Linked DNA regions of Danio rerio. The protein of the gene in region 2 purifies or fractionates together with the protein of the main gene of each other region. This does not show direct contact. Links are inferred from orthologs where the notes say so. Each region holds a gene or a part of one and is shown on either strand. Other genes may lie near its edges.

The links.
Region 1: the proteins of exoc2 (region 2) and exoc7 fractionate together in Homo sapiens (co-fractionation; 4 studies listed by BioGRID, with this or other methods). This does not show direct contact. The link is inferred for Danio rerio from reciprocal best matches to the Homo sapiens genes EXOC2 and EXOC7.
Region 3: the proteins of exoc2 (region 2) and exoc6 purify together in Homo sapiens (affinity purification with mass spectrometry; 5 studies listed by BioGRID and IntAct, counting the BioPlex papers as one, with this or other methods). This does not show direct contact. The link is inferred for Danio rerio from reciprocal best matches to the Homo sapiens genes EXOC2 and EXOC6.

Annotation. Positions count from the first base shown.
Region 1 is NC_133187.1:48,881,162-48,889,471, forward strand, and holds part of exoc7 (exocyst complex component 7), read left to right. Parts: intron 1-839; coding exon 840-985; intron 986-2,842; coding exon 2,843-3,094; intron 3,095-5,253; coding exon 5,254-5,316; intron 5,317-5,409; coding exon 5,410-5,476; intron 5,477-8,310. UniProt on the Homo sapiens protein: Component of the exocyst complex involved in the docking of exocytic vesicles with fusion sites on the plasma membrane.
Region 2 is NC_133195.1:29,285,921-29,294,230, forward strand, and holds the end of exoc2 (exocyst complex component 2), read right to left. Parts: intron 6,338-8,310; coding exon 6,196-6,337; intron 4,224-6,195; coding exon 4,168-4,223; intron 3,812-4,167; coding exon 3,689-3,811; intron 3,602-3,688; coding exon 3,540-3,601; intron 3,449-3,539; coding exon 3,389-3,448; intron 2,715-3,388; coding exon 2,621-2,714; 3' UTR 2,412-2,620; downstream 1-2,411. UniProt on the Homo sapiens protein: Component of the exocyst complex involved in the docking of exocytic vesicles with fusion sites on the plasma membrane.
Region 3 is NC_133187.1:9,563,978-9,572,287, forward strand, and holds part of exoc6 (exocyst complex component 6), read right to left. Parts: intron 2,998-8,310; coding exon 2,886-2,997; intron 2,805-2,885; coding exon 2,670-2,804; intron 12-2,669; coding exon 1-11. UniProt on the Homo sapiens protein: Component of the exocyst complex involved in the docking of exocytic vesicles with fusion sites on the plasma membrane.

The DNA.
Region 1 (8,310 bases), on a different chromosome or scaffold from region 2:
TAGTTGGACAGGTGTACCTAATAAAGTGGCCGGTGAGTGCATATACACATTCTTTTTTATACTAGGTAATACTTTTACGTAATACTTTTTTGTATAACCTTTATAAGTTTTGCGTAAAGTAAGTACACAGCTGCACACTTGTTTATCTATATTTGAATTTAAAAGTTGTAATATTTTGTTGTTGTTGTGGTTTTAAGTAAATAAAATAAAAAACTTTGTTAATTAGCATGTGCAGTTAAAGTGCTGTTCAACAATGCAGGAAACATTTTCACAGTTTTTCCTATTGTGTTTTGTTTTTCCCCCAAAAAGTCGTGTTTCTTTTAGTTTGGCTGGATTAATATATATATATATATATATATATATATATATATATATATATATATATATATATATATATATGTGTGTGTGTGTGTGTGTGTGTGTGTGTGTGTGTGTGTGTGTGTGTGTGTGTGTGTGTGTGTGTGTGTGTATGTATGTATGTATGTGTGTGTGTGTATGTATATATATATATATATATATATATATATATATATATATATATATATATATTAATCCAGCTAAGGATCAATATTAACTAACAGCTAACATCTAAGGTCAATATTATTAGCCTCCTTAATATTTTAATTGTTTTGATTGGCAACAGAACAAACCATTGATGTCCAATGACTTGCCTAATTAACCTAGTTTCTAATTTACTTTAAACTGAATGCTAGTATCTTGCAATAAACTAGTAGAATATTATGTCACTGTCATCATGATTTAAAAGCCTTTTCTTCTTTCCATTTTATAGCACTTGGTAATTTTTTTAACATTCGTGTGTGTGTGTGTGTGTATCTCAGGGAAAGATGATGTGCTGGACATCGAGATCGACTCCTACATCCACTGCATCAGTGCGTTTGTGAAGCTGGCTCAGAGTGAATACGCTTTACTGACCGAGATCATTCCTGAACACCACCAGAAGAAAACCTTCGACTCGCTCATTCAGGTCAGGGCTGTGTGAGTGCTAATAACCCTTGAATTTGAACCTAGTATTCTCTCAAGGTATGGAAAAAATGCAGGGGGGTTGTGAGGGGGTGGGGTATACATTTATAATCTATAAATCCTGCATTTGTCCTGACGTGAGTTTGAACGTGTCTGTCATTATTTAATAACACATAGTAAACAATCTGCATCTCTCATTTTCAAAATAAAAGTCCCACATACATAGTAAGTTGAAAATAAACCTACAAAGAACTAAGGGAGGAAAGAGATCATTGTTGTCTCACTAGGAAATGTTGTGGCTTATCAAACGTGTATTAATGATCCCAACATATCAGTCTGTGTTTTGGCTAGTGATCTCCTGATGACGTTTGAACATGACTTAAAGTACATGCAGATGATGCAGGCGTGGCCCGTGAGTCACGCAGCAGTCTGCCTTGTGTTTTGATTGTCAATCGGGATTGTACACTCATGCAATTTACACAAGAATGAGAAAACAACAGTGTCTGAGGCTCACAGTATGGCCTTTTCCATATACTGTCTTATATCTCTTGTTATTCGACTTATTATTTTACCCCTGATTTTCTTTATAGGGAGAAATGTCAGTTTTAATGACATTTAGGAGAGTCAATGACAGTAATTCAGGGGTTTTCAAAGTGTGAGGCGCGCCTCCCCTGGGGGGCGCCAAAGCATGTCAGGGGAGGCGCAGGAAAAAATATAATATAATAAAAATATAATTATTAAGTTTAATTATTATATGTATTTTTTATTATATTTAAACGTTTATTATATGCCTGCTAATACATTGGGTCGGTTTCTGAGACCCACCCCGATTCAAAACTGTAATGAAGTTCACGGCCCTTTGGCCGCCGGGAAGGAGGCGGAGAACCGAAGCAGTTTTAAAGTGACAGTGACGGCAGCTCCATCTAAACCAAAACAAACGGACGGCAGATCCTCACGGAGACTGCCGTCAAACTGAAAGCAAAAGTAAAATATGTTTGGGTCCGGTCCTCTCTCGGCTTCCTCTGCCCTTGTTCCTCCTTTTATGATCCAGAGCTCCTTCCGTGGGATCTGAGGCAGGTGCGCACCGCAGGTGGATCCACTTACGCGGTGGCCTCACTCCGTTCCCACGGCGCTCGGCCACGCCCCCTCGCCACAAAAGCCTTCAAGTTCAGGGCTTAAACCCAAAAGACAACGATATGATGATCAGTATTTGAGTTTAGGATTTACGTGGACAGGACCAGCTGAGGAACCACGACCTTTATGTGTGGTTTGTCAAAATATTTTGGCAATGACAGCATGAGACCCGCTAAACTTCCACTGTTTTGACTGGGACGGACAGTTCTTGGAACTGTTCTATTCATATTGAACCATCATCCTAGTTTTAAAAACGTTATATTAAAATGCTTGTTATTACTCTGTAAATAATTGCACTTTCATGCAAATGATGATAAAAGTGAGTTAACAGTCTGACATCTGTCTGTGTCTTTATATATATATATGCGTGCGTGCGTGTTTGGGAGGAGGGGGGCGCCAATGGATAAGTTGTGTCAAAAGGGAGGCCCACTGTCTTAGACTTTGAAAAACCCTGCAGTAATTTAATACACTTGGGGCAAATATGTGGTTGACATTTTTCCTTAGATTACCATACTGTGCTACAGAATACTAAAACAAAAATCATCTGGTATATCATAGCATGTATATGTATGCAAATATCTAATTTGCTTACATATTATTTAAATGTATAATTTTAAATGTAAAAAAATGTGTAATTACACCCAGAAAGTGCTTAAAAAGTGCTTAAATGTGACCATTCGTGAGTGGACCTGCATGTGTGTTGACTCCCAGCGTTGTGTGTTTGCAGGAAGCGCTGGATAATTTAATGCTGGAAGGTGATAATATCGTGTCTGCTGCGCGTCGAGCCATCATGAGACACGATTACTCCGCCGTTCTGACCATCTTCCCCATCTTACGGCATCTCAAACAGACCAAACCAGACTTCGATGCCACACTGCAGGGAACAGCGGCGAGCACCAAAAACAAGCTGCCGGCGCTCATCACCTCTATGGAGACTATTGGAGCGAAAGCACTGGAAGAGTTTGCTGACAGCATTAAGGTTCATTTTACATCTATATTTTTATATTTAATTGTATTTATGTTGTTTGTTAGTAAAATATTTATATTTGTGAATCTTTAATTAATCATTTGTAGTTAAATAAATATTCAAAATGTTTTATTTTGTTTAAATTATTAAAAACAATAATATGTATTATTATTATTAATCATTTAATTCTTCATTATTAATTATTTAAAACAGTTATTTTTACTTATTTTAAAATGTATATTAATATAATACAATAAATAATATAATTTTTGTCTAAGTAGTTTGTTGTTAGTGCTTATATTAATGTTATTATTGTTATTTTGTATTTACTTTCTCCAACATTTTTATTTATTATAAAATTATTACTCATGTATTTTAATAATATTCTGAATAATAATATTTAAAATAATTCTTCATTATTGTGTATTTATAACAATTATTGTTTTTTGTTAATTAATTATTGTTTATTATTTTATTTTACTTATTTAAAAAATGCATATTAATATAATACAACAAATAATATAGTTAATGTATTTTGATAGTCTCTTATTAGTAAATATATTATTATTAATATGTTGTATTTGTTTTCTTTAATAATACTATTTATCATATTATTTTAAATAATGCATTTTAATAATAATTAGAATAATAATATTAAGAATAATACTTAATTATTGTGTATTTAAAACCATTATTATTAATAATTTAATAGTGCATATCAATATAATACAACAAATAATATAATAATTGTATTTAAGTAGTCTGTTATTAGTATTTATATTCATATTAATAATATTTTGTTATATTGTATTTATTTTCTTTAATAATACTATTTATTATGTTGTTGATACATTTAATAATGTTTAAAATAATATTAATAATAATAATTATTATTATTTAATATTTTAATTAAATAAAAATTTAATGCAATAGAATGAATGTAATAATAATTTAAGAATTTATTATTTAATTTTTCTTTTATTATTTAAAAATATATATATTATCTATTCAAGTATATTGTTCATCCATGTGTGTAAAAATATGTATTATAAAAGATTAAAATCAAGATTAAGATCAAAATATAGTCATTTTGTTAAATTAAACAGTTTTGGCCCCTTCCTAAAATGAAATATCACTTGCCCCCTTCTGATCTTCAACCTTTAGTATCAAATTTTAATTTTCATTAATTTGTTCATTTGCTTTTCGGCTTAGTCTCTTTATTATTCAGAGGCCGCCAACTTATCCAGCATATGTTTTATGCAGCGGATGGCCTTCCATCTGCAACCCATCACTGTAAAACACCAATACACTATCATTCACACACATACACTACAGAGAATTTAGGTTACCCAACTCACCTATAGCGCATGTTTCTGGACTGTGGGGAAAACAGGAACACCCTGAGGAAACCCACACCACACACAGGGAGAACATGCAAACTCCACACAGAAATGCCAACTGACCCAGCCGAGGCTCAAACCAGCGACCTTCTTGCTACCCCCCCCCCATCCCCCCCCCATATATTAATTTATAATTTTATATAGGTTTATAAGTCTAATTATATACTTTCATAATGACAATAATTATTCCATATACAGTTGAAGTCAGAATTATAAGCCCCCCTGAATTATTAGCTTCCCTGTTTATTTTTTCCCCAATTTCTGTTTAACAGAGAAATGATTTCTTCAACACATTTCTAATCATAATAATTTTAATAACTCATTTCTAATAATTGAGTTATTTTATCTTTGTCATGATGACAGTAAATAATATTAGACTAGATATTCTTCAAGACACTTCTATACAGCTTAAAGTGACACTTAAAGGCTTAACTAGGGTAATTAGGGTAACTAGGCAGGTTAGAGTAATTAGGCAAGTTATTGTATAACGATGGTTTATTCTGTAGACTACTGGATAAAAAATTTGTTTAAAGGGGCTAATAATTTTGTCCTAAAAATGGTGTTTAAAAAATTAAAAACTGCTTTTATTCTAGCTGAAATAAAACAAATAAGACTTTCTCTAGAAGAAAAAATATTATCAGACATACTGTGAACATTTCCTTGCTCTGTTCAACATCATTTGGGAAATATTTAAAAAAGAAAATAAAATTCAAAGGCGTTCTAATAATTCTGACTTTAACTGTATATTGATTATGTTTTTCTCTCCGACAGAATGATCCGGATAAAGAGTACAACATGCCGAAAGATGGAACTGTGCATGAGCTGACCAGCAATGTAAGATCTCTTCATTGTCCATTTCATGCAGTAAACGTACTCAAAGTGGTGTTTTATTATAAATAAATGTCTTCTCCTAATGTATTTTGTCAGGCAATCCTGTTTCTGCAGCAGCTGCTGGATTTCCAGGAAACAGCAGGAGCGATGCTGGCGTCTCAGGGTAAAACACAGACTACAGAAAAACAGACATTACATACAGTTGAAGTCACAATTATTAGCCCTCCTGTATGTTTTGTCCCCAATTTCTGTTTAACGAAAAGCAGATTTTTAAAACACATTTCTAATCATACTAATTTTAATAACTCATCTCTAATAACTGATTTATTTGATCTTTGCCATGATGACAGTAAATAATATTAGACTAGATATTCTTCAAGACACTTCTATACAGCTTAAAGAGACATTTAAAGGATTCACTGGGTTAATTAGGGTAAAATTAGGGTAATTAGCCAAGTCATTGTATAACAGGGGTTTACTCTCTAAACCAGCCCTGCTGAAAAATCTAGGTTAAACCAGCCTAGTCTGGTTGGCTGGTTTTAGCTGGTCGACCAGGCTGGTTTTAGAGGGGTTTTGGCCACTTCCAGGCTGGTTTCCAGCCATTTCCAGCCTGGTCTTAGCTGGTCAGGCAAACCAGCTTGACCAGCCTAGCCAAGCTGGGAGTCCAGCCAAAACCAGCTATGTCCAGCTTAAACCAAGCTGGTTTTAGCTGGATTTGGCTGGTAATTTTCCAGCCTGACCAACTAAGACCAGGCTGGAAATGGCTGGAAACCAGCCTGGTAATGGCCAAAATCCCTCTAAAACCAGCCTGGTCGACCAGCTAAAACCAGCCAACCAGCCTAGGCTGGTTTAAGCAAGATTTTTCAGCAGAGAGGGGTGGCCAATCCTGTTCCTGGAGATCTACCTTCCTGCAGATTTCAGTTGCAACCCTTATCAAACACACCTGTCTATAATTATCAAGCGGATTTCGGGTCCTAATTAATTGGTTCAGGTGGGTTTGATCAGGGTAGGAGCTAAACTGTACAGGAAGGTAGATCTCCAGGAACAGGATTGAGCACCCCTGCTCTAAACCATCCAAAACAAATATAGCGTAAAGGGGCTAATAATATTGACCTTAAAATGTTTTTAAAAAATTAAAAACTGCTTTTATTCTAGCCAAAATAAAACAAATAAGACTTTCTCCAGAAGAAAAAATATTATAGGAAATACTGTGAAAAAATCCTGAATCTGTTCAACATCCTTTGGGAAATATTTGACAAAGAAAGAACAAAATCACATAACAGGAGTGAATAATTTTGACTTCGGCTGCAAATATTCTTGGCTTATTAATGACACATTATACAGTTGAAGACCAGATCTAAGCTGTATACTGGACTGCTGAAATGTCTGTTCTTATTGCATTAATGTTCATAACACACAGGCTACTGTCCTCATCCTTCTGTCTCCTTATTTGTCATCTTTTCACATTTCCTGCAGTCTGCATTTCTTTTTTCCTTTTGTTTTTTGTATTTTTTTTCTCAAGGTGATATTCTGGAATTATGTTATAAAAATCATATTCAGCTATTTTCCCCTCGACCTTCACTTTCCATCCTGCATATAATAACAGTTTAGTCTCTAATTGGCAATAAACTGCTCAAAGAAAAATAGAGGACGCACATTTCTTTATATTCTTGCTTAATACTTTGTTCATTACACTATACTGTGAACATTAAAATAAATACCAAATAGCATTTGACTGAAATCAGAAATTGCGGTCTACTTTTACTCGTATTACGCCCCAAGTCTAGGGGAAAACAACATGGGCATAATAAACGAAGAAAACAAATGTGTTTGGGTGGTGGATTTCCCAATCAAAACAAAAACTTAATGCAAAAGATTTCCTTCGGTCGACAACCAAACTCAGACACTCAGTTGAGAGTATATAAATATATTTATTATAGAAAAATTTAGTAAATATATATGAGCATCTCTTCAGGGTGGCCACAGGCCAAAATAACAAACAACAGAATGTATAAAGTAAATGCACTACATTACCTAATTATATATATTTTTTTAAATACAGGAAGCTTACCTTTCTCCCTAAACATAAACAAAGTCAAAAGTAATCAAATAAATAGGCAGGCCACCCCTACACGCTCAAACTCTCCAAATTAGGTAAACGTATGAATAATGGTACAAAATTGATTGTTGGTCGTTGGCCGGAGGGCTAAGGGAAATCCAAGAGCTCCACTCCCAGCACCGAACGCAGCACAAATGAGTTCCCCTAACCCTGCCGGAGGCTCCTTTTTATACAGGCCTCCGAGACCAGCAGCCAATCAGAACACGGGATCACACCGGTAGAGGAGCCTATAGGATAACAGAAAAACAACACGAAGGCGGGACAAAAAAAAAAGACATGCAATTCGCAATAATAAATAAATAAACTTCAGTCGTAACACTCGATTAATACTTCTTGTTCTATTTTTTATTAATCGATTATTTTAAAATGTACATTAATATAATAGAACTTAATACAGTACTGTTGTATTATAATAATGAAATAATATAATATAAATGATTTGCTATATTTTAGTCTGTTATTAGAACTTTTGTTAGAATTATTTTATATTGTGTTTGTTTTATTTGATAATATTAATAATAATAGTCTTGTTTCTGTCCAAATATCTAAAAATTCTTAAATTAAGAAGCATTTTCTAGACGGGCAAAAAGTATTGTCTTGTTTTAAGAACTAATATGTCAAAAGTAAATGAGTTTTTTCTTAAAACAAGCAAAATAATCTGCTAATTGAATGATTTTGTTAGTATATTAGCTAAAATCCTGAAGCATGAAATAAAAAAGAATCACTTTTGGGTTTGCAATGCAAATTCAATTAGATCCACGTGTTTGGCAACAAAGCAAGTCTCTCATTTACTAAAATACAGAAAATATTACTTTACAAATGGTATTGTAAAGAAATCATATAAACATTTGCATGTTAGTTAGTTAATAATTGTGCTA
Region 2 (8,310 bases):
TTCCCAACAGTCAGTGTCTTGTTTGTTGATTTCTATTCTTTCTAAATTTAGAGTGCCTAACACCCACTCATTTAAGGGAAGCTGTTTGACAGAGTAGCATCAAAGCCTGCGTGGCACTAGGTGAAAAGGTGGGTGTATTGATGTCAGGCTCTACAGCTTAAGGGAAGTTTTTAATGATTGCACCTTTCCGCTCTGTAGGCAGCGGAAAATGATCCAAAACATGTTTATGTGTTAATGTAAAGCCGTGAGCCTGTAAACAGTGGAAAACTCGAAGAAATTTTGTTTGTGTGAGCTTACACATTTTCTCAGGATGTCCAATGCATTCCAACACAAACATAGTTATTTTTAAAATCAATGCAGATACATATGAGAAATATATTTTTGGTAGTGATTACATGATTTAAAGTTCAGGAAAATAACTGCATTCAGGACATTGCTGCAACACATCTTTTTTTCTGCTTTACCTGATAATTATTTTTTTCAGCCCAAACACAGAGAGATACCCACAAATCATCAGCTTATCAGACATTCCACAATCTCAAAAGCACAGATCCAGAATCTACAATTGGTGAAAACAAGCTAGAACAGAGGAGTAAGTGCAACCAAAGGAGTTATATTGGTGCCGTGACCCGGATGGGAGTGATTGTTACAGAGGCCATCTATTAAGACCTGCAGAGTTACGCCTCACTCAAAAACCATAAAATACACAAGACATGTCACTCATATAGTTCTGAATGGGGAAAAGTGTAACTGTCAATATGGCGAATGAAGCCCTGCCTACTGGAACAGGAGCCAATAACCGATCGCTATAGGACCAGACGTGTGCTTTTACGGCAATTTGGTGGTCAGCAAACACTGCAATCTCAGTGAATACTTGCTTCAAAGACATAAGAAATATATCCACATAGAGCTTGAAATCTGTACTTTTAAATGAACCAAGTGCACTTGAAAACGAAAGATTTTTCTGGTTTTGTAATCTATATGACAAACGCAAGGTAGAGTTTGTCCTGTCAAACGCACATCACATGACAGCAACTACTCAATACGCCACAAAATGAGGTTGAGTGTGCACGCGCATTAGGGCAACCTGAAAATATGCAGATCTTGTTTGATTCGGACGTTCAGAAACGTAACTTATGAAACAGTTGTTGTTTAATTTTATTGGTGATTCCAAACATGCAATGTAATCGTACACTTGGCAAACATTTTTGGTAGAATTTGATGTTTTTCCTTTCAGACAGAATGCCTGAGCAAACTGCCCGAGAGTTGTTTCAAAGATGGCCGCCAAGGGAAATGACTAGCTTTTAAGGGAATTTGCTTCACTCCACTGGCCTTTAAGAGGTGCTCTAGCAACTAATTCAAGAGATTGTGGTGTTTGCCTCCCATGCCAAAGACACCAACTCTAATCCCCTTCTGAGTAGACGGGTACAACCGCAGGGCTTAAACTGCTGCCATGATCCTAGTAGGATTGAGTGAAACAGAGATCAGCAAGAAAGATTTGTATCAGTAGGCCTCAGAGGCACACTAAGCAACTAATGCTAAAGTGGCCTTGCAAGTGCACCCTTTGTCCATGCAAGAGATGCTGGATGAGGTCTTCAGCGGCTGATTTATTCTGGTCTTTAGAATGCTTGATATTTTGACTGTCTCCCATGAATCTGACTCAAACATGCAATTGCGTAAGATGTTATCATCTAAGTCACTTCATCAGGGGTGTTCAATCCTGTTCCTGGAGATCTACCTTTCTGCAGAGTTAAGCTCCAACCCTGATCAAACACAACTCAACTAATTAATCAGCATCTGAATAGTACTTGATAATCGCAGGCAGGTGTATTTGATATGAGTTGCAACTGAAATTTGCAAGAAAGTAGATCTCCAGGAACAGGGTTGGACACCCCTGCTCTACATAATGGCAGAGCAACAAACAAGAAGCTTCAGGTAAGTGATTTCTATTGAAGAGGTTAAATACCTTTTTTGAAGACTTTGTGCTTTGTAACTTTACAGATTGTTTACTAGCACAAAAAGCCTATATAATAAAATAAAGGTTAAATAAAAAAATCATATTAACTCAGTGTCTAGCGTGTGTTCTAATCAGTTATTTCTTTAACTCCCAAACCACATGCCAGTGCTCTTTGAGTGAAGGCCACCTCCCAGCATTAAACACTTCCTCAAGGTGGCAGGGTGTGTTTCTTTCCATCTGACACCAGACAGGGTGTGTGCATGCATCAGTGGTCATAATAGACTTCAAGAGAAACGACTCTTTTGAAAAAAGAAGACAAGAGTCATTTCTGAACTCAACCGTATCATCCACAAAATGCAAAACTCTGCAAATTTCTATCCCTTTGACACGAACACAAAAACAGAATCCTGGCACATTTCTTGCACATTAATGTACATTAAAAACCCACTCAGTGTAAGCATACATGAATTTATTTTAGTTTAAACCAAAACTGTGATCATTAAGGTGAATGAAGAGGCAGTACAACTGGTCAAGTTAATTATTCTGAAAGGAAAAAGCTATTTTAGTGGCACTAAATTGGCTTTTAATGGTTTTTAAAATTGAAATGGTTTCTTAGTGTTACAATGCAAAAGAGTAATTGAAATGTTGGCGCTTTGTGAAGGTTTATCGCTTTACAGGCTGAAATGAGGCAGGCTTGAAGCAATTTAGCTGCAGCTTCATACTGCTCTTAAACTTATTCAGTAGCTCCTCCAAGAGTCTGAGAAAAGAGAAAGAGATACATGTAGAAAAGAGATATTAAAAAACACTCTGGTAAACACAAAATACTCAATTCTAAGTAATGTTCCAGGATAAAACCAAAATTGATTTGTGTAGACGTATGATCTGATTCTACTGATGCACTACTGGCTGGTTTAAAATCAAGCGTAATTTGTAATCTTCAGTTTTGGCTAAATGTAAAGATGTGTTGGCCCAGCCAACCTGACAGTTATCATTTTAACTTGCCCTTGCATTTTCACTACCCCTCCACAAATGTTATTATTTAAAAATAAACATAACCACTTGAAATTTTGAGGTCACGAGGATTGAGTTCAGAAAAAACACATTAAATTGATAGTAATAATGGTTATAATGTTTAAAAAAACGTCAAATGCTGTACTTGTAAACTCTCTTATTGATCAAAAGATACAGTAACATTTAATCAGAGAATTTCCAGAAAAAATAAGCAGCAAAACCATTTTCAACTTTTGATTTCTAGAGCACCAATCTGCATAATAAAGTCATTCCTAAATTATCACAATTAAATGGTTTTAATAATCATCATCCCCATTTCTAATAATCTCTAATAGCAGTTAGTATTAAATATTAAATAGTTTTGTGTTATCAGTGTCAAGGTTTCAGTCATGTTTGTAACTATACTGAAGTGTAACTTACTTTTTGTCAGCTCCACTCTGTAGCTGTGGAAGCGCTTCCAATGCCTGCTTAAAACTAGTGCTGAGACACAAATGAAAAGATCATGAGCATTAACATACTAACAGTTTTCACCTTTTCTGTTTAAATTTCTCATTGCAGTCGCATGTCTTACCAGCTCTCTGATGAGAGATAGGGCTCTATAGCATCTCGCAAAGCACAGATCTCCAGACGCGCCTCGAGAGAGTAATATAAAAAGGGTAATGTCAATTTTAGTATTTTCAGATCAAATGCTTATTGTGTATGTGAAGGATGCTACCATACCTGCAAGGCACCATTTTTACTAAAAGAAGACACACACTGCATGAGGCGACTCATTTCTTCTGCTACAGCCTCGATGATCTTTGAAAGAACACGAGAAACCAGCTCCTTGGAAACTGTGAAAACCTGGGCAAAAACAGAAGAATACAGAAAATCTATGTTGACCTATGCTACAAATAAATGAAGAATTAGTTACATAATAGAGTATTTTAAAATTAAAAATGTATTTTAATTTGTACTTCTGCAGCTTAGTGAGCAAAACTTTACTTTTTAAAAAAAAAATGTTGAACTGTGGTGTACATTTACAGTTGATTTATATGCTTTTTTTATGCCAAGTCTGATGAAATAATTTTCCAGAAAGCATAGTTTGCATATCCTTTAAATGCTGTAAACAGCTCTCTAGAGTTTTGAATAGAACATGTGCCTTTTTTCTGGAGTAAGGTCTAAAAAGTCATCTTTTACAGAAGGGTTTGTTCTCTCACCTCAGCATGAACAGAGATGATGCTGACCAAAGCCTCCTTCAAATAACTCCTCACGCCTGAGTCAGAAAGAGAGAAAAAAAAATGGGAAAAGGTTGATCAATGAGTTAATTCATTTAGGACATACAGAGAAGCTTCATGTTTGTGCATGTTTCATGTATATTAATTACTTAATTTCAATATTAATAAACTGATCTGGAGAAATGAAGACACTGGCTGATGAGTTCTAGGCTTAGTGGAAGTGTACCGTTCACCACTTACATAAAAAAGTCAATCCATCCATCCATCCACTTCATTATGTACACCTGTCCAACTGCTTGTTAAAACAAATTTCTTTAAACATGTCATGGTTGTTGGTGCTAGATGGGCTGGTCTAAGTATTTCAGAAACTGCAGATCTACTAGGATTTTCACGCACAACCATCTCTAGGGTTTACAGAGAATTGTCAGAAAAAGGGAAAAATATCCAGTGTGCAGCAGTTCTGTTGCCTCAAATGCCTTGTTGATGCCAGAGGTCAGAGGAGAATGGCCAGACTGGTTTGAGCTGATAGAAAGGCAACAGTAACTTAAATAACCTCTCGTCACTACCGAGGTATGCAGAAGAGCATCTCTAAATGCACAACGCGTCCAACCTTGAGGCAGGTGGGCTACAGCAGCAGAAGACCACACTAGGTGCCCCTCCTGTCAGTTAAGAACAGGAAACTTACATTTGCACAGGCTCACCAAAATTGGACAATAGAAGATTGGAAAAACGTTGCCTAACGAGTCTTGATTTCTGCTGCAGCATTAGATGGTAGGGTCATAATTTGGCATCAACAACATGAAAGCATGGATCCGTCCTGCCTTGTATCAACGGTTCAGGCTGGTGGTGTAATGGTGTAAGGATACTTTCTTGGGACACTTTGGACCCATTAGTACCAATTGAGCATTGTGTCACTGCCACAGCCTACCTGAGTATTGTTGCTGACCATGTCCGTCCCTTTATGACCACAGTTTACTCATCTTCTGATGGCTACTTCCAGCAGAATAATACGAAATGTCATAAAGCACGAATCATTTTACACTGGTTTCTTGTACATGACAAAACGTTCACTATACTCAAATGGCCTTCACAGTCACCAGATCTCAATCCAATAGAGCACCTTTGGGATGTGATGGAATTGGAGATTCATATCATAGATGTGCAGAAGGCAAAACTGCAGCAACTGCGTGGTGCTATCATGTCAAAATGGACCAAAATCTCTGAGGAATATATCAAGTACATTATTGAATCTATGCCACGAAGGATTAAGGCAGTTCTGAAGGCAAAAGGGGCTCCAACATGGTACTAGTAAGGTGTACTTAATAAAGTGGCCAGTGGGTCTGTCTGTCAGTCTGTCTATAATATTATTTTATTGCATACTTGCCAATTTTTTTATCATTTAACATTTTTAAAACAAGTGCGATGCTCAATATTTTTGTGGTAATACATCATTGTTCAGGGTATAACCTTGAAAAGAACTAAAATCATCTCAAATAGACATCATTTGTAGAATTATAAACATATTTACCATCTCTTGTTAAATACATCCATATTAAAAAACTCTGATGAACAGCGGTGACATTAGTTCATGCCAGTGCATTATATTTTTATATTTCGGAGATAAATATGTTTTTCAAACGGATCAGTGATCAGAACTAAACATGAGCAGTGGTGAAAGAAAAATGGTTGATTTTGCACAGATCACCAAGTTCTTCATATAACAACTCAGAAGCAGGAAACGCTCTTGCAATACCCAAATGATTTAGCAGCCAATAGAATTCAAGTCTGCACCACAAAAACTAAATATACACACAGGCACACAACCACGACTGAAACTCTGACACAAAAGCAATGACAACACACTGAAACTGCAGAATCAAGAACAGCTAACGTGTGGATGTTTCTCTATTAGTACCATCTTCAAGGTGGTGCACTTTTAACATTCAAATAGCAAATGTAAACTTCGAGAAACATCCACAGAGTGCTGTCAGCATCCAGAAAACACGATACCTGTAGGAAGCAGGCAGTCTTTCCAGTCAAAATAACCTGCGTAGATCCCGGTTTCCAGAGAGCCGACGATAGGATCAGACTTCTTCTCGATGTACATCTCAAACAGATCATAATCCAGCTGTCTCAGCGCATCTATGCTGACCTGAAGAACATGTTCAGATTAATCGCAAACCATTGCCCCTTTTCACAGATCATATAAAAAACTATTCTGTAACTGTGATCTGTATTTCAGCTTGTCTTGATTAAGAATCATAATTTTGACCTTCTGTTTAATTGTTCTGAAAATATCTTCTTTCTTTGAGATTTTAAAAAGCATAAGCACAAGTTTTATTTACCTTTTCCTACTGAATTTTTCCTACTGAATTTACTTTCCAACTGAATGAATGATGGTCACTAGAGTTTAGCAGTCTTCACTGCAGTCCTCTGCTCAAATTACAGTGATATACAGTCAGTATTTGTAACTTCACAAAGCCGTTGGTGCTTTTTGCAGATAGTTCATCTGTAATTAATGCCATAAATCCAAACATTAATCTTGACTATCCTCTAAATAAATTTGCTTATGCATCTATTTTTGTGCTACAATTATAAGTAAACTTGAATATAATTTGGAATTATTGGCATTACTATTAGAAACTGTATCAGCTTTTGCAGGAGGCTACTTAAAATTATACCAGTTTTCATAATATAGACCAGGGGGTGTCAAACCTGCCCTGCAGAGTTTAGTTCCAACCCTGCTCCAACACACTCACCTGTAGGTTTCAAACAAGCCTGAAGGATTTAATTAGTATGATCAGGTGTGTTTAATTAGGGCTGGAACTAAACTGTGCAGAGCTGCTGTCCTCCAGAAACTGAGCTTGACACCTGTGATGTAGACAAAGTATAATGTATGATCAATATAATAAATCTGGAAAACAGACGAGGTAAAATAAACCCTCCAAAGATTTAATGTTCTCTTAATTAATAAAAGCACAAAAATTATTATGCAGCCCTACATACTGTACAAGACTCTTTCCTGTAAATGACACTTGAAAAACTATAATCACTAACATCACAAACAATCATCCCCCTTCGCACTCTTCTTGCAGAATGAGTAGAGACCACTCATGCATGTCCATTATTTAGACATGTGCTAAGATTTAGGGACGTTTTCAAAAAAACCAGAATGGAAAGCACCATTTCAATAGGGGACAAACCTCTGGGATCTCATTAAAAGACCAGATATCAACATCTCAATCTTCTTTTCCAAATTATTCAGAAACATTGAAAAGGTCCTGCCCATGCAAAAATAATATGCTGTGCCTGGCTGCCAGAATGCTTCTATTTAATGGTATCAGTGTTTTTATTTTGTAGTGTGCAGCTTTGCAGTTACTAGGGTATGCTAAGTGCTTGCTGCATTTATGTCCACTATGCATAAATATTCTGATCCCTATATGGCACAGATTCCTCACTCAGTGTAAGTTCAGCTTGACTTGTACTTGCCCTTGTTGACTGAGGATACGATACTTAAATGCAAAGACTCAAGGTTTGACATGAGAATTTAAAGAAAAGACTTACTTCTGACTTGCATAAAAACTTAAGAAAAAAAACAAAGAATTTTTTGTAAGCACATACGTTTTTGCATTGTTTTTCAAAAGACCTTATGGTTTGGCTCAGTCCACTCTCATTAACATTAAAAGCACACGCAGGATATTTGTTTGAATTGATATGTGTTTTGTGGTCTGAAAACAAATAAAAAGGCAGGCACACAGCATTGAAACAACCTCAGAGTGAGCAAATAATGACTGATGTTTTATTATTTGTGTGAACTAACCATCTAAACTGCACGATTCTAACATACTTGTAGCACAAAACTATGCACATTTAACAATAATCTATAAGCTGCTGGTTTTTAATAGACAATCAATCTGTAGAATACATCTGTAGCATTCTGCACTACCATTGGTAATTGCTGCATCACTTTAATTTGAATAAAGTTAAGCTGAGTCTCAGAGTGAATCACCATTTAGAGTAAGAGGTGTATGCAAATACTTTAATGCAATGAGACAACTTCTGATAAATGATCAATAAAAAATGTATTTCTCATTTGTATTTACAGAATATTTCATTAATGAACAC
Region 3 (8,310 bases), on a different chromosome or scaffold from region 2:
TGTCTGGCATCCTGACAATAAGAACATGTGCATATGAATTCTTAAGAAGTCTTCTAACACTAATACAACCAATTTCCATGTAATACCAGCATGCCTTTAAAGGAACACTCGACTCTACCCAAAAAAAAAACGCCTTATTTTACAAGTTGAGTTAAGGTTGAATCTATTCAGCTGTTCTCTAGTGCCATGTCTGAAATAGCATAGTACGCTAAAAATAGTATGCGAGCCGAGTAGTATGTCCGAATTCAAAGAATTTGAAAATCATTATGCGAGAAGTACCTGGATGACCTACTACTTCTGGCTAGATTCTGGAGTGTGCATCCGATGCACGCTACCCTATCATATGATGCCACACCAGAGAATTCCGTCGAGTGATCAAGACAAAATGGTGGATGTAGTATGAAGTTCCATTCATACTACTCACATTCATACTGTATAGGAGGTACTTTTCTAATGTTCGAATAATAAAATTCTAATTCAAATGTAGTACATACTGAGTAGTACGCGATTTCGGACATAGCCCAGGTCTGGCGGGAGCACTTTTATGTTAGCTTAGCTTAGCATAAATCAATGAATTGAATTAGACCAAGAGCATCCCGCAACTTTCCATTGAAAACTGCTTTTATTCCAGCCAAACTAAAGGAAATAACTATAACAGCAAACACTGTCAAAATTTCCTTGCTTTGTTAAGATTTAAACTTTCACAGAAGAACTAATAAATTTGCCTCGGGTCACACTTTATTTTGATGGTCCGCTTTTGAATTTAGGTTATATTGTATCTACATGCCAACTAATTCTCATTAGATTATGAGTAGACTGTTAGGTTGGGGTTAGGGTTAAACTTGGTTTAGTGTAAGTTGACATGTACTCGCAAAGTTTCTTATAGTCAGTTAAATGTCAGTATCAACAGAAATTAAGTAAACAGTCTACTACTACACAAATGGACCATCAAAATACCTTGTCTTGAACTCTAAATATACACATATATCTACTTTTTATGGAAAGTTTATGGAAATGCTACTTTTGAGTTACATTTTTTTTATACCTGCTTGAGGAGCTGCATTTAATGACACACTGTATAACCTACACCTTCATTTACCTAAATTAAAAACTAATAAAATAACTTGTCAGGTTACTGAAAGCAATGTGTTTGCTACTTTTGCATTTTTGTCTTATTAGTTCAGTAAAATCACTGTCCATTGAGACTTTAATCCCCTTTTCTTCCATGTGTTCAAAATGACCAGAATATTTCCATCACAGAAATGTAAGGCTCTGCCATCTTGTTTTCTGTCTGTTCTCGTGGGGATCTCATTTTCTGATTGAGTGTGATTTAACATGATTACACAAATTTTAATACAGCAAATTATTTTTAAAAGCGTATTAATTAATCCAAAATGTACTTTTACTCTTAGAAAAGTAATATTATTACAGAACTTGCGTTATCCCCAACACTGTGTATACACACACACATGTTTGTTTTTGTGAAAAGTGAGGACATTACATGTGTTTCTATTAATTTTATACTGTCCAAACCGTATATTATATTGCCCTCATCCCACCCCACCCCTAAACCCAACCATCACAGGAGACAGTGGACAGCTTTACTCTCTGATTAAACTCATTCTGTAGAATTTATAAGCATTTTGAGAAATGAGGACGTCACTAATGTCCTCATATTTCACCTCCTTTTTGTAATACCTGTGTCATACCCATGTCATTATACAGATTTGTGTTCTGATATGTCACAAAAACATGTACACACACACACACACACACACACACACACACACACACACACACACACACACATATATATATATACATACAGTTGAAGTCAGAATTATTAGCCCCACTTTGAATTTTTTTTTTCATTTTTAAATATTTCCCAAATGATGTTTAACAGAGCAAGGAAATTTTCACAGTATGCCTGATAATATTTTTACATCTGGAGAAAGTCTTATTTGATTTATTTCAGCTAGTTTTCAATTTTTTAAAAGCCATTTTAAAGTCAAAATAATTAGTCTACAGAAAAAAAACATCGTAATACAATAACTTATTACAGGCTAATTACCCTAACCTGCCTAGTTAACGTAATTAACCCAGCTAAGCCTTCAAATGTCACTTTAAGCAGTATAGAAGTGTCTTGAAAAATATCTAGTAAAATATTATTTACTGTCATCATGGCAAAGATATAAGAAATCAGTTATTAGAAATGAGTTATTAAAACTATTATGCTTAGAAATGTGTTGAAAAAAGCTACTCTCCGTGAAACAGAAATTGAGGGAAAAAATTAAACAGGTGGGCTAATAATTCTGACTTCAACTGTATATATATGTATTCAATGTAAAACAACGAAATGTGAAAATTCTTATGTAACTCTTTATAATCAAACTTAAGCAATAGGAACAAGCTGCTGCGCGTTTAATGACTCAAAAAAGTAGGTCATCGGAAAACACCGCCGTTTAGACACATTTAACACCCTGGAATCAAAACAAGCTCTTGATGGAGTTCATGAGGCCTGAGGCGGCTGCTGTCCCTGGAGTCGATGACAGTTTTCTCTGAATACAACACACCACTCCAGACGGCAGACCTCTGATCACAGTGAGCCCATGGCAGAATTGCGGCAATACGACCGTAATTAAAGAACATGTCTGTGAATGACTTTTTACCTTGAAGGTGGAAAGCCCGTAAAGTCTTGTGGTGTGAACCGTTTCCGGGGAAACATTGGTGATGTTCGTGATAAAATCCTCCAGGTATTTACATGCGTGCTCTAAGTGGGTGGTGTTGATGATGATTTGAACAAGCTGCAAACATAAAAAAAGGTGTGTCATTTTCAAACTGGGCTTCAACAGGCAGAATGAGGCAAGTCTTCGCATCAATACTACCTCTGTTAATCCAATGTGTGGTTTTTTGATGAGGTTTTGTAAGCAGCTGCTCAAGGTCCTCGTCAACAGCAGGTTGGTGGATTTACGGAGCATGTCGTCGATCTCGGTTGAGCTGAAACAAAAATAAAAAAACAAATATGTTCAGTCAAGGCATAGTTTCGTAAAGCTTATTATGATTTTTTTAAGTCATGGTAATATATAACCAGGGCGGAAAATGCTATGGTTCCATCCAAAAATGCAAAGTAGACTTATGCACAAAACTGAAATATCACATAAAACGTTTGTGAATAAAGTAGTGTTTCCATCCAGTGAAACAAAAATAAAAAATAAATAAAAATGAAATCGCCACTTCCTGATCATATATAATCAGGTGGAAAATAGCTATGTTTGCATTCAAAAATGCAAAGTAGGATTATGCACAAAACTAAAATATCACATAAATTTTTTTTGAATAAAGCACCATTTCCATCCAGTGAGACACAAAAATATTAATTAAATATTAATTAAAAAATTATAAAACTGAAATTTCACATAAAACATTTGCGGATAAGATACCATTACCATCCAGTGAGACAAAATATTACTAATAATAATAAAATAATAAAAAAATAAAAATAATTTATATACATAACTAGGGGGAAAACCAGGGGGAAAATAGCTGTTCCCATCTAAAAATGCTAAATATACTTATGCAAAGAACTGGAATATCACAAAAACATTTGCGAATAAAGTAGTGTTGCCATCAGGTGAGACAAAAAAAAGAAAAATTTCAAAAATAAATAAATAAAACCATAATAAAAATGACACTTCCTGATAATATATAACCAGGGGGAAAATAGTTTTCGCACAAAACTTAAACATCTCATAAAACATTTGCAAATAAAGCACCATTTCCATCCAGTGAGACACAAAAAAATTAATTAAATATTAATTAAAAAAATAAAAATAAAACAAATTTTACATAAAACATTTGCGAATAAGATACCATTTCCAACCAGACAAAATAATAATAATAATCAAATAATTTTAAAAATATAATTAATTTATATACATAACCAGGGGGAAAATAGCTATTCCCATCCAAAAATGCAAAATATACTTATGCACAGAACTAGAATATCACAAAAACATTTGCGAATAAAGTAGTGTTTCCATCAGGTGAGACCACAAAACAAAAACAAAAAAAAAAACAAAAAAACAATACAATACAAAAAAAAAAACAATAATAAAAATGACACTTCCTGATAATATATAACCAGGGGGAAATTAGCTTTCGCACGAAACTTCAATATCGAATAAAACATTTGCAAATAAAGAAGTATTTCCATGTAGTGAGACAAAAAAATGTAAACTATAATAATAATAATAATAATAATAATAAAAATATATTTTCTGATAATATATATATATATATATATATATATATATATATATATATATATATATATATATATATATATACCAGGAGGAAAAAATTGCGGTTTCCATCCAAAAATCAAAGTAATCAAATGGGATTAAAAAAATGGGATACTTGCTGTTTCCATTAAGTATTTTTTTCAAGGTATTTCAAACTAAAATAAAAATAAAAAATGTACTTTAGAGCAGTAATCTCAATACTGTGAAACTGTAAAATTTTTATCCAAAGTTATTATAATGTCAGAATCTTATAGCAGCCCATGCATAATCTTATAATCAGCCCTAGAGTCAAGGTAAGTAAATTATGTCATGGAGTGTACTGAGTATAGTATGCCTGCTGTCTGCACTCATTAGCACTGCCGTAGCCCTACTGTTGTCCAGCTTGCTTGTAAGGTGTGAGTGTTTACAGGACACCGCTGGCTGGTGTTGATTTTGCGGTTGGAGAGCGTGTGTCTCAGCATGAGGTGTTGATTAGGGGGAGTGATCAGGTGGAAAATGCTCCATGAAGAGGCGCAGAGGTCGCTCATTATCGCTTGCTTAAATAACAAAGAAACCATTAGAGAGGAGTGTGAAATCTCCAGTCGTTTGCATTGATTAGAGAGGCACAGGAGGAGAAAAGACTGTTGGATCAATTAATAAGTGTTCTGACTGCCTCATGTGGGTCTCCTCAGTCCTCATACCGTTCAAAGCAAAAGAGGTTTCATCGTTTGGCCTGCTGTCTGTGGAAATGTTTGGGCCAGCATTGGCTAAAGAATCAGCAATGGCGGAAAAGGGAAATATGAAAGATCTGTGTTATAGATAAAGCAACTATTGTGTCTGGCTCTCGAATCCGATTGGCTGATGGTCAGGCCATATTCTACAATAACAGCACTCGTACAGCCTCCTTCTGTATTACTCCGCCCACATAGAGTGACAGCAGATCAATATTCATTACAGTTTGACAGACATTGCAGCTGTTGGACAACATAAAGTAGTTTTAGGGCTTTTATGTGAGAATGTAATTGTTTATATTGCAGTTTATTTATAAGGAAAGTGCCTATTTTAAATATTTATAACTTCAGAGATACAGAGCGTCGGCATTTATCAGACTGTCATACTGAGCAGAGCAAAGACGGCTGACGTTCCGCCGGAAGATGGCGACAGAGACCGCATAATAAGCCCTAAGAGGAGAAAAACTCAGCGTAGTTTGAAACTACAGCTGATCAATTCATTATTAAACAGATAAGTGACATCCTAAGTCAATCTCTCTCTTGTATGTTGTAGTGCTGTAGTTATACTATAGTCTGGTGGTGTTTCTGGTAGTCTTTGTTTTGCTCTGGCTTTGTCGGGGTTAATTATTTCTCAATTGCAACAGAGAACTAGTGGGAAATGTCTCTAGACTGATGGCATTTTTTGCCGTTCAGCCTTATAATCTTAAAATGTGAGCAAAACCACCTGTTTTGTCATCCCTTTAGATATTACACTAGAGAATCATTCAAATACTAGCTTTAAAGTGACGTTTATGAAGGATCAACAGCTTCTGCTGTTCTGACGTCAGCTGCAGATGTAAATGAATGGCAGAAGACAGTAGTTCCTCATACAAAAGATTTGATTTTCTATTTTATTTACACGATTATGTCTTTGAACTGTTGTATAAATGCAATATCATACTCGTTGCGGTGCGATATATGGCTCGGAACTGGTGGGGGGCAATAAGGCACTCTATTATATGACACACACTAGTATATGAATGTAATATTAATATAATATAAATTCACACTATTATAAGTGGTTATAAAAGTCACTTTGTTAACAGTAGAGTTTAATTTTAAATAATCAAAAAGTTTACAGATCAAGGTCCCATAATGCAATAAGAAAGCATACATAAATAGAAAACACAGGTGAATGAATTTTAAATCTTGGACAAGTATTGTAATATGTCAATAATAAAATCAATAATAATATATTAATTAAAATCATTTGAAGTCATTCTTGGTTAGCGCAATATATCGTTTCAGCATCGAAGTCTGCAATAGTAACATAGTCGCAGAGATCTGCAATGTACTTGGAATTATAGTTGACCAGACATTACAGTTACAACACAGCAGAGTCATTTCATGGTAATGATTTCGGCTGTTCTGCCGTCAGCTGCAGATGTCAATGAATGGCGGAAGGAAGTAGTTCCTTGCACAAAAAGGTTTTTGGGACTCTCTGTGTTTGATTTTCTTTTTTATATACACAACAATGCCGTCAAACTGTTGTATAAATGCAAAATCACCGGATAGCAGTGCAATATAGCTGTATATCAGCACTGGTGGGACACTAAGGCACGCCTCCAACCAGTGCCGATATAAAGCCATATCGCACTGCTACACATGTGATATTTCTTATTCATATATATATATATATATTGTCTATTTTAATACACCTGTACATACATTGTTCATTTGCATATTTTATTCTTATTTTTATATTGCTTGTTACTTTTTAAACTCCTTTATTATATATTTTTCCCCATTACTGTCATTCTATTGCATGCATTGCTTATTCTCTGTATGTGTTTGTAACATTATTTTCCTGAAACTAGAAAATAATTAGAATATAACTTTAAACATAATATGAAAACCTTATGGGTTGTGCAAAAAAAGCAAAAATAATAAAGCGACAAATCCCATCACGTAGTTTAAAGATGAAAATAATCTTTAACCTAAAATAATCTCTCTTAAAATAAGAGCAAATCAAATGCTGAAAAACAAAAAAAAGATATAATTTTAAAAAGTTATTAAGATAAAACACTACTTGATATATGACATCCAATTCACCTAAAACATTGCAAATAATGTTAAAAAGCAACAGTAATCAACACGTCACCATTTTCCTCAGAAAACATTTCTAGAGATGCTGCTGACTTGAAATTTTCACCTGATGTTGGTAACAACCAAAGAAATCCATATATGAAAGGAAAACAAATCTAATTAGTTTACAAATGAAGTTATGTGTAATAAAATGACAAAGCAAAATATTGAACACATAAAGAAAGGGAAGTGTAGAAAGGCAGTGAAAGCCCAGACAGCAGCTGAAATCTCTCAGTAGTTCTTCAGCAAACCTCTGTCCTTCATCAGCGTAAAGTAATATTAGCGGCTTCAGTCCAACATCCACAATACCAGGATGGCGAAGATCAAATAAGAATGGACATTTCAGTAAGACAATGATCCAAAAAACAGCCAAGGAATCTCTCAAATGCTTTCAGAAAAAGAAAATCAAGCTATTGACCTTATTCTAAAATGCGGAAGTGCGCCTGTTTTCACGATTGTCTTAGAACTTCAGATTCAGTCGCCTATGGGGGAAATGACTACGAATAATAAACAGCAGCAAAACGGTCAAATTACTTGCTCTACAAACAAATGTTTGCATGAGCAGTTTTTAACGTCAAAAAATGAATGGAAGTGAATGAGACCGGAAGTCTCAAGCCAAAAAGATTCAAATGGCAGCGCCCGCTCATCGGAGAAGAATAAAGTGAATAGAATGGCCCAGCCAATCACCTGACCTGAATCCAATAGAAAATACAAAATAAAGATTATGTTGTGAAAAGAGGCAAGACGATTAGACTTCGACAAAGCAACCGATTGCTCCATATTTTACATTTATTTACAGAGCCCTCATGTTTTGATCTTCTAATGGTCGATGGTTCAACAAGCTTGAACTTTGGAATGCAGCGACATACCAGACTTGATGCACAAACTCGCATTTCCGGTCTGCCGCATTCGTGTGCGTACGAATGGAAGTCTATAGGTGAAAAGTGCAGTGCGACTATAGCTTTATGCTAGAAAAGCTGTTGCTGCAAAAAAGTTGCAGCTTTAAGTACAATTACATCCTGATACACCAGATGACCTTGGATCTCTGTTGATCAACAGGGCTGCTTTGTCTGTGATGGACGGCGGGAGGTAAAATCCACCAGCTATGTGCACTTCTAACCCTCTGGGAAAGAATTTGGGGTGCCAATGACAAGCACAACACAGACCCCTCACAA